Cricetulus griseus: one gene and its partner. The protein of the gene in region 1 interacts with the protein of each later gene in a biochemical or structural test. Links are inferred from orthologs where the notes say so. Each region holds a gene or a part of one and is shown in the gene's direction. Other genes may lie near its edges.

Region 1 (4,282 bases):
TACTTCTGCTGGTCTCTAGGCCGCAGCTACAAGCCCTATACCCACAGATGGACAGTAAAATTACATAGTGCTCGGGGTTGGAGAGATGGCTCAGAGGTTAAAAGCACTGGCTGCTCTTCCATAGGTCCTGAGTTCAATTCCGGGCAACCACATGGTGGCTCACAACCATCTGTAATGAGATCTGGTGCCCTCTTCTGGTGTGCAAGCATGAATGCAGACAACTATATTCATAATAAATAAATAAAATCTAAAAAAAAAAAAATAAGAATTGCTTTTAAAACAATTACACAGTGCTCACCCTCGGTTGCACGACAGAAATCTATTTTAAGGAGCAAGGGTCCCGATGTCCTTGAATGTCTGTGCTCAAGAACAGTACGAGTTTTAAACTAGTTTCCATCCATCGGAATCTGGCTTTGCGATGGGATGAAGGGGAGCCCAGACAACGTCCCTCAATAACGCCCAGGCTCTGCCTTTGCTGAGCCCACAGACAGCAAACACCCATTCTAGCCCGCTCCGCCTAAGCGCAAGAGTGGATGGAAACAGCGGGCACCAAACGGCCGCTACGCGACTCGCTCCAAAAAAAAAAAGAAAAAAAAAAACGCCTGCCAGCCCCGCTTCCTGCTCTGCTGGGTGTGCGCAGCCGCCGGGCCGCCGAATAGGCACCTCCACGAACGGAAACAGCCGAGCTCAACCGAAGAAGGCCGAACCCCAACCGAGGAGCAACCGAAGAAGGCCGAAACCCAACCGAGGAGCAACCGAAGAAGGCCGAACCCCAACCGAGGAGCCAACGGAGGGGAGGGAGGGGGCCGCGCAGGCGCAGCCCGCAGCCGGGGGAGGGGGGGACCAGGAAGAACCGAAGCGGGGGGCAGGCAGGCGGCGGAAAGTGCCGAAGCGGCGGGGGGGGGCGCCCGAAGGCCGTTGCGGACCTCCGCACCGAAGCCGCGCCTGCCGCGGGAGCTGAGCCTCCACCGGTAACCCTGCCGCCGCCAGCGCGGCTGCCGCCTCCTCCGCCTCCCACCTCACCGCAGCCTCCTCGCAGAGGGAGGGAGGGAGCAAGCAGGCGGGAGAGCGGAGCGGCGGAGCCGGGAAGGGAAGCGGCCGCAGCGGGGGCCCTCTCGCAAGACCTGAGCGGAAGAGGGGAACGGGGAGGAGGAGGAGGAGGAGGAGCAGGAGCAGGAGGAGGAGGAGGAGGAGGGCGCGGGGGTGGGGGCGGGGCGGGCGCCCGAGAGCAGGGGCGGGGCCGACGAGAGCCGAGTCCTCCCGAGCGCCTCCGAACGCACCCGAGGCGCTGAGCCAGGCCGAGAGCCGGACTACGGGAGCCGAGGCGGGCCGTGCGGTGGGCGCGGAGCAGCGCGGCAGGCAGGCCGGGCGGGCGGCGGCGGCGGCAGCGGAGGAAGAAGAAGAAGAAGAGGAGGAGGAGGAGGAGGAGCGGGAGGCCGCGGCAGCGGGTCCGAGGAGCGGAAGCGGCGCAGGAGGCGGCCGGGGGGGCCGGGTGGCCGGGGTCCCGGGCCCCGCGGCGGCGGCGGCGGCGGCGGCGGCGACAGGATGATCAAGCTGTTCTCGCTGAAGCAGCAGAAGAAGGAGGAGGAGTCGGCCGGCGGCACCAAGGGCAGCAGCAAGAAGGCGTCGGCGGCGCAGCTCCGGATCCAGAAGGTAGGGGCTGGGGTGGGGTGCGGTGGGTGGGGTGCGGGTGGGGGGGTGTCGGGGAGCCCGGGGTGCGAAGGTGCAGCCGCTGAGGTGGCGGGGCGGCGGGCGGGCGGAGGGGGGAGGGCGGGGAGGGGGTATCGGAAGTCGGGGTGGGGGGGGGGCTGCGCTGCGGGACGGGGGTGCGGTCGCTAGGGAGGGCCGGTCCGAGCCGGGGGCCCCGGGTGAGGCCTTGGGAGGGACCCTGAGGCCTGGAGGGTTAGGGCGCCGGGGATCCGGTAGGGGACCGGGGGGGGGGAGAGTTTGAGAGTCCCACGGGAACTTGGCGGGGGTGACGACGGGCCGTGGAGACAGGGGTGAAGGTTGCGAATCGGAGAGGAGGAGGAGGAGGGGGAGGAAGGACACGGCCTCGGGTCATGATGTTGGGAGACCTGGAGCCCCGGGACTCCGGGACGAGGGGGAGGGGACGGGAGGGGAGGGCAGAGCAGTTTTGAGTTTGAGGTGAAAGGCGGGGGGGGGGGAGGAGGAAAGCAGGTGACAGGAACTAAAAATAAATAAATAGATAGATAGATACATAGATGGATAAAATAAAGATGGGAGTCGGGGTCCATGGAAGCTACTACCATGCTAGGAGTCTTCACGAGTCAGATGAGAAGAAGCGGCGCGTGGAATAACCACCCCCCCACCCCCGAGAAACAGGAAGAAGGACAAGGGGAGGCTGTGGATAGTTGATGGGAAGGGCCGATCTAGCGTGGGAAGGGTCCTCGAATGAGGACGGACGGGTAAACCAGTCGCGAGTGGAGGTCATGACCACGCAGCCTCAAGTTTAGAATGCTCAGGGGCAATCTCTTGGAAGCCAGAGGTTCTTGGGCCCTCACTGCATTGTGGGAAGGGTGGTGGTGGTGGTGGTGGTGGTGGGGATTTAGTTGGGTTAATCAAGGTTGGCCCTTCCCGAGAGATAGGCGTCCGGTTACAACTGAAGATGCTCACGTGTGGGGATACTATGTATCCACCAGAGTCCACCGAGAGACTGGAAAGTGGGAAGAGTGTGTAGGACTCACCCTGCGAGGTGTGAGGCCACCACACGCCGGGGCCCTACAGGTCAGGAAGGAGAACTTGGGAAGTCCTGCTAACACCTGCCCAGACCTTCACGCCGTCGTTTGCTCTCCCTCTCACTGTTGCCTAAACCTAGACATTAACGAGCTGAACCTGCCCAAGACTTGTGACATCAGCTTCTCAGACCCAGACGACCTCCTCAACTTCAAGCTGGTTATCTGTCCTGATGAGGTGAGAGTAAAACGTGGGTGGCAGGGTTCCCAAGAACAGACCCCGGGGTGGGGGTGCTGTCCGCCCATAGAGAATGGGAAACCCTAAGAATGGGGGGTCTTAATTCCTTCTTCGCTCCCTTTCCCAGGGCTTCTACAAGAGTGGGAAGTTTGTGTTCAGTTTTAAGGTGAGTCCCAGGTGGACCGAGGTGGCTCGGTGGAGAAGTAGCAGCAGCTGAGGCATAGCCAAAACACCTGCCCCTCTCATTTCCCTTTTTTTCTGGGGCCAGGTGGGACAAGGTTATCCACATGACCCCCCCAAGGTGAAGTGTGAGACAATGGTTTATCACCCTAACATTGACCTCGAGGGCAACGTCTGTCTCAACATCCTCAGGTGATGGCCCTGCCTCCCCTTTCCCTCCCGAGGCCCACCTCTGCTCTGCTCTGCCCTTTACCGTCTGTGATTCTGTCTTCGCATTTCTACGTTGTCTTCCTAATAGCCCAGCCTTGGCTTTCTCCATGGCCTGCCCCGTTCCATGTCTTACCCCTTCCTTACCTCTCACTCTTCAGGGTTACGGGCCTCCTATGGGCCTGACCTGTTTGGTACTAGCAGGGCCTGTTGAAGCCTCCCACTCACCAACATGTGATAACCTTGATGCTCTCTGCCCACAGAGAGGACTGGAAGCCAGTCCTTACGATAAACTCCATAATTTATGGCCTGCAGTATCTCTTCTTGGTGAGTAGGCACAGGCATTTGAGGCGGGGGTTTGTTGGCCATCTGCCTCTCTTGCCTGTTAACTTCCACTTGTGCTGGCCACAGGAGCCCAACCCCGAGGACCCACTGAACAAGGAGGCCGCCGAGGTCCTGCAGAACAACCGGCGGCTGTTTGAACAAAACGTGCAGCGCTCCATGAGAGGTGGTTACATCGGGTCCACCTACTTTGAGCGCTGCCTGAAATAGGGTTAGCAAATACCCATCCCTGCCAGGGTCACCAGCCCAGGCATCCCCTGCAAATATTTATTGGGGGCCCGGGTAGGATATGTGGGGTAGCCTTGGCCCCTGCCTTGGCCTTACCTCTCCTCCCTGTCACCTGTCCCTAGTTATTTTTTTTTTAACCACCACGTGATTATGGTCGGTGCTGCCTTTTCCCGACCTGCTCAGCGATGGGAAATGAATTGGCCTGTTTAGCGCCCCCCCCTCCCGCTGGGTGCTGTCCAATACCCCACTCTTGACTGTGGGGTAAGTGGGCAATGAGCCTGGGTCACTGGTCCCAGGCAACCCACCCCACCACCACTGGAGGTCCCACCAGGCTATTAAAGGGGAATGTTACTGCATGGCCTGTGCCTCTTCCTTCTGTGGGGTGGGAGGGACA
Region 2 (3,500 bases), on another chromosome or scaffold:
TAGGTACAGCTTCCCCTTCAGATCCTAAGTGGTTTTATTTTATGAGTGTACTTACATTTTCTCACTAATATTGTAGGATAAAGATCAGAGAAGCCTTGATATTGATACTGCTAAGTCTATGTTAGCTCTGCTGCTTGGGAGAACATGGCCGCTCTTTTCAGTATTTTATCAGTACCTGGAGGTATGTATGGGCATTTTAAAATGTTTGAAAATGCATTTTTAAGGAACAAATTCTGTACTTTAAAATTTTTATATGAGTAATTAAATCTGCTAAAATATGTACCATATTGTCAGTTTTAGACATAAATTTGTATTATTTATATATTCTGTACATAATATAGTTGGGAACTGGAGTGTAATTTGGTGATAGAACACGTGCTTTGCATTTTAAGGGATTTTCGTTCTCCCTAGGAGGAATCCCAGGAAAACTATTTTATCATAGACATTTCCTATAAACCTAATTTCTTGAGGTTTTAATGTTAATATTTTGTACGCACAGATCTGAGCATGGCTGTAACAGTTATCCACTGCACTGCTGACTCTGCAGTGTGTGCTGCATCACAGAATAAACATCCCGTAGGAGCTGTGCTGCACCTGCCAGCTAGCTCAAGACATCTGCTTTTCCACTCTTCGCTTTGTGTGATTCTGTTTAGTTTTAAACCTTTCCGCTTGAGTTTTGGGGACATATGTCTAACCATTTCTTAAATAGAGCTGCCTTTTCTATCAGAAATAACATCATGTCATGTGGTTTACTTGTCACAGTAACTTTTCCAGAGCACTTTTATTTAAAACCTGGAGAAATGAGTTTTGTACATTGGTAAATTTTTATGGCAAGTAAAAGTTGACATTTTTGATTAATGATACATATCTTCCTCCTGTTAGTCGATCAAAAATACATTTAGCTAAATACAAAAATATTAACTTCTGTGGGGCTCTGAAAAAAAAAAAAAACGAGATATGTTCAAGCAAGTTTTACCATTTAGTAGTTGAGGAAATCAGGTATGGGATTAGCTTAGTATTGGATTTTTATTTTTGTTGTTTGGTGGTAGTGGTGATTGGGTTTTGTTTTGGGGGGAAATGGTTTGTGTTTTGATGGAGGCATTGACAGAGAGTCTTGCTAGATAGCCCAGGCCATCCTTGAACTCATGATCATCCTGTCTCTGCTTCCCAAGTGCTGGGATCACAGGTGTGTGTCACCATACCTAGTTGTCCTGCTGGGGAAGAAACCCTGAGCACCTGCCCACCAAGCTCTCTGCCACAGAAGTCACTTTCCCAAGAGCACTCAATTGAGTGTTCACGTTGTGATTCAGATCCAAGCTCATAGTGTTCCCACTACTGCTGTGGATGCTCTCTTCAAAATGTAGCTGATGCACACAAATACATTCTGTATAGTGGAAACCACACTGTCAGACCAACTGAGTGTTCTAGTGGAGAGCCACATGGGTGTACATACATGTAAATCTCAGTGTTAGTCTTACTGCCTTTCAGAAAAGAAAATATATGATAACCTAAAGGAGTCTAGAACAGCACGTAGTTAAGAAAGGAAGAAATATGTTAGAAAAGACCAAATAAATGGAAAATGAGAGTCACTAAATTCAAGCCCCAATAAGAATGTTGGTTCTGTAGTCCACATTTTTATATCATTTTCCACAGCAATCAAAGTATCGAGTTATGAACAAAGATCAGTGGTACAATGTATTAGAATTCAGCAGAACAGTTCATGCCGATCTTAGTAACTACGATGAAGATGGTGCTTGTAAGTATATCATGCATTCCTATGAAAATAAAATTCCTAAAAATGTTAAACGAATTTGTGCATTCTGAGGCATTAACAGAAAGTTTGAAATAGTGTAACAGTAACTCATTATTTAGTCAGGATATGGGGGAGGCAGAGTCTAGGTTCAGCAATGTTGTAAAATCTATGCTAGTGAATAAGTGACTAGACATTACAGCTAAATGATCATTTCTCAAGCTAGAAGCCAAAATCCTACTTTTTACTTGCCTTTTCAGTAGAAGGAAAGTTTCACTCATGCATTAAAAGGACAAAGGCACAACTAATAAGCCAACTTAATTCTGTAGAATTCTTAATTAAACTTAAATCTCTACTGTCACTTGGAGCGCTGCAGTGTTTCAGTGTTCATATGGGGTACGTGGAAAGGTGCCTTGCTTTATAACAAAAATGGACATAGCACACTTGATGCAAAAGAGACAAGGTACTACCAAAGAGATAGCCTGCCTCGAGTATATAGTGTTTTTTCCCTACAGGATCACGTAGAATTTAATTCTTGTTTGAAGAAATACTTATTTTCTGCAGTAGGCTAACAGCCCGAGAGCTACATAGAGCCTGCAGACATGTATATCTGTGTATGTTGAGCCAACATTTAAAACTGAGAGGTTTGGTATAAAAATAAACTTGTACATTTATTTGAACTATCAGAAAATCTGACACATTGCACCTGTATTCCTTTGTAGGTTTCAGAGGTTGGAACCAAGTAGTGGCTTGTGTTGAACTTGCTCTCCAGTTTGGCAGTCCACGCAGTATTCCAACATTGCCATTTACTGCTTTGCCTGCCCGGCTGTTTTTGTATGGTCTGCTAAAAGCAAGAGAGAAAAGAACACCCAGAGGTTTTATGTTTTGAGAAAAACAAGACAAGCATATCTCTTCGTGGTCATACTTTCCATACATTTTGAGATACTGAATTCCATACATCACAAATACTGAAACCTCATTTAAATTGCCCACTTGGCTTCTGTTGGTAAACATTTGGAACCTCTACATTCTAAAACTTCTTTTTTAGACTAGCAGTCAGTTAGGTAGTAGGTGTTTGCTTTATGCTATTCTTTTTACTGTGTCTCATTTTTAGAATAAAGTTAGTCTCACGTGGCCATTCCCCCTTAACAAGTGCTCATACTTGTTGATGTAGCAGAAATATGTTTGCTGAGTGTTTAACACCAGTGCTGTGGGGAAAGGTTCGTTTTGTCTCATTTATAGGGGAGTTCATGAAACACTCCTAGAGAAGGAAATAACCCTGGGGAAAGAAAACAAACAGAAAGCAGTAGCTGAAGGACAGGTTAGGTGGGCCCTTGCCACCTCAGAGCTTGTTAGAGGGATGAGTCTACTGAATCTTAACAACTTGTTTCTTCTGTCTAGGGCCGGTTCTACTTGATGAATTTGTTGAGTGGCAAAAAATCCGTCAAACATCATAGCAAGAACTGTTGTGAAGAAAATGCAAATCTTGTGAAGAAAATACAGAAAGAGGGAGGATATACAAGGGTGCATTTTCACTCACGAAAGACTTCTCATAGTACTTTTTTCCTTTTTTTTAAAGGAAGTTTTCTTGTTACATGTGATGGGCACTGAGCCACACGTCTTCTGAGACTGAATATTGACGTTTTTGTTTCAAGTTATGTTTTTAACATTTATTTCAGAACAATAAAGATTCAGATTTGTGACAAAGGCCTTAAAGTGAAGATGTCCATTGAGTGTCAGTGGTATTTAT

What was found.
Region 2: the proteins of Ube2m (region 1) and Dcun1d5 form a complex in vitro, tested with the Homo sapiens proteins (3 studies listed by BioGRID). The link is inferred for Cricetulus griseus from reciprocal best matches to the Homo sapiens genes UBE2M and DCUN1D5.

The regions. Positions count from the first base shown.
Region 1 is NC_048602.1:25,624,911-25,629,192, reverse strand, and holds Ube2m (NEDD8-conjugating enzyme Ubc12), read left to right. Parts: upstream 1-1,482; 5' UTR 1,483-1,545; coding exon 1,546-1,653; intron 1,654-2,460; exon of another isoform or gene 2,461-2,475; coding exon of another isoform or gene 2,476-2,506; intron 2,507-2,835; coding exon 2,836-2,931; intron 2,932-3,058; coding exon 3,059-3,097; intron 3,098-3,199; coding exon 3,200-3,303; intron 3,304-3,581; coding exon 3,582-3,645; intron 3,646-3,729; coding exon 3,730-3,870; 3' UTR 3,871-4,244; downstream 4,245-4,282.
Region 2 is NC_048597.1:121,723,771-121,727,270, forward strand, and holds the end of Dcun1d5 (DCN1-like protein 5), read left to right. Parts: intron 1-76; coding exon 77-181; intron 182-1,653; coding exon 1,654-1,756; intron 1,757-2,472; coding exon 2,473-2,481; intron 2,482-3,151; coding exon 3,152-3,207; 3' UTR 3,208-3,348; downstream 3,349-3,500. UniProt on the Homo sapiens protein: Contributes to the neddylation of all cullins by transferring NEDD8 from N-terminally acetylated NEDD8-conjugating E2s enzyme to different cullin C-terminal domain-RBX complexes which is necessary for the activation of cullin-RING E3 ubiquitin ligases (CRLs).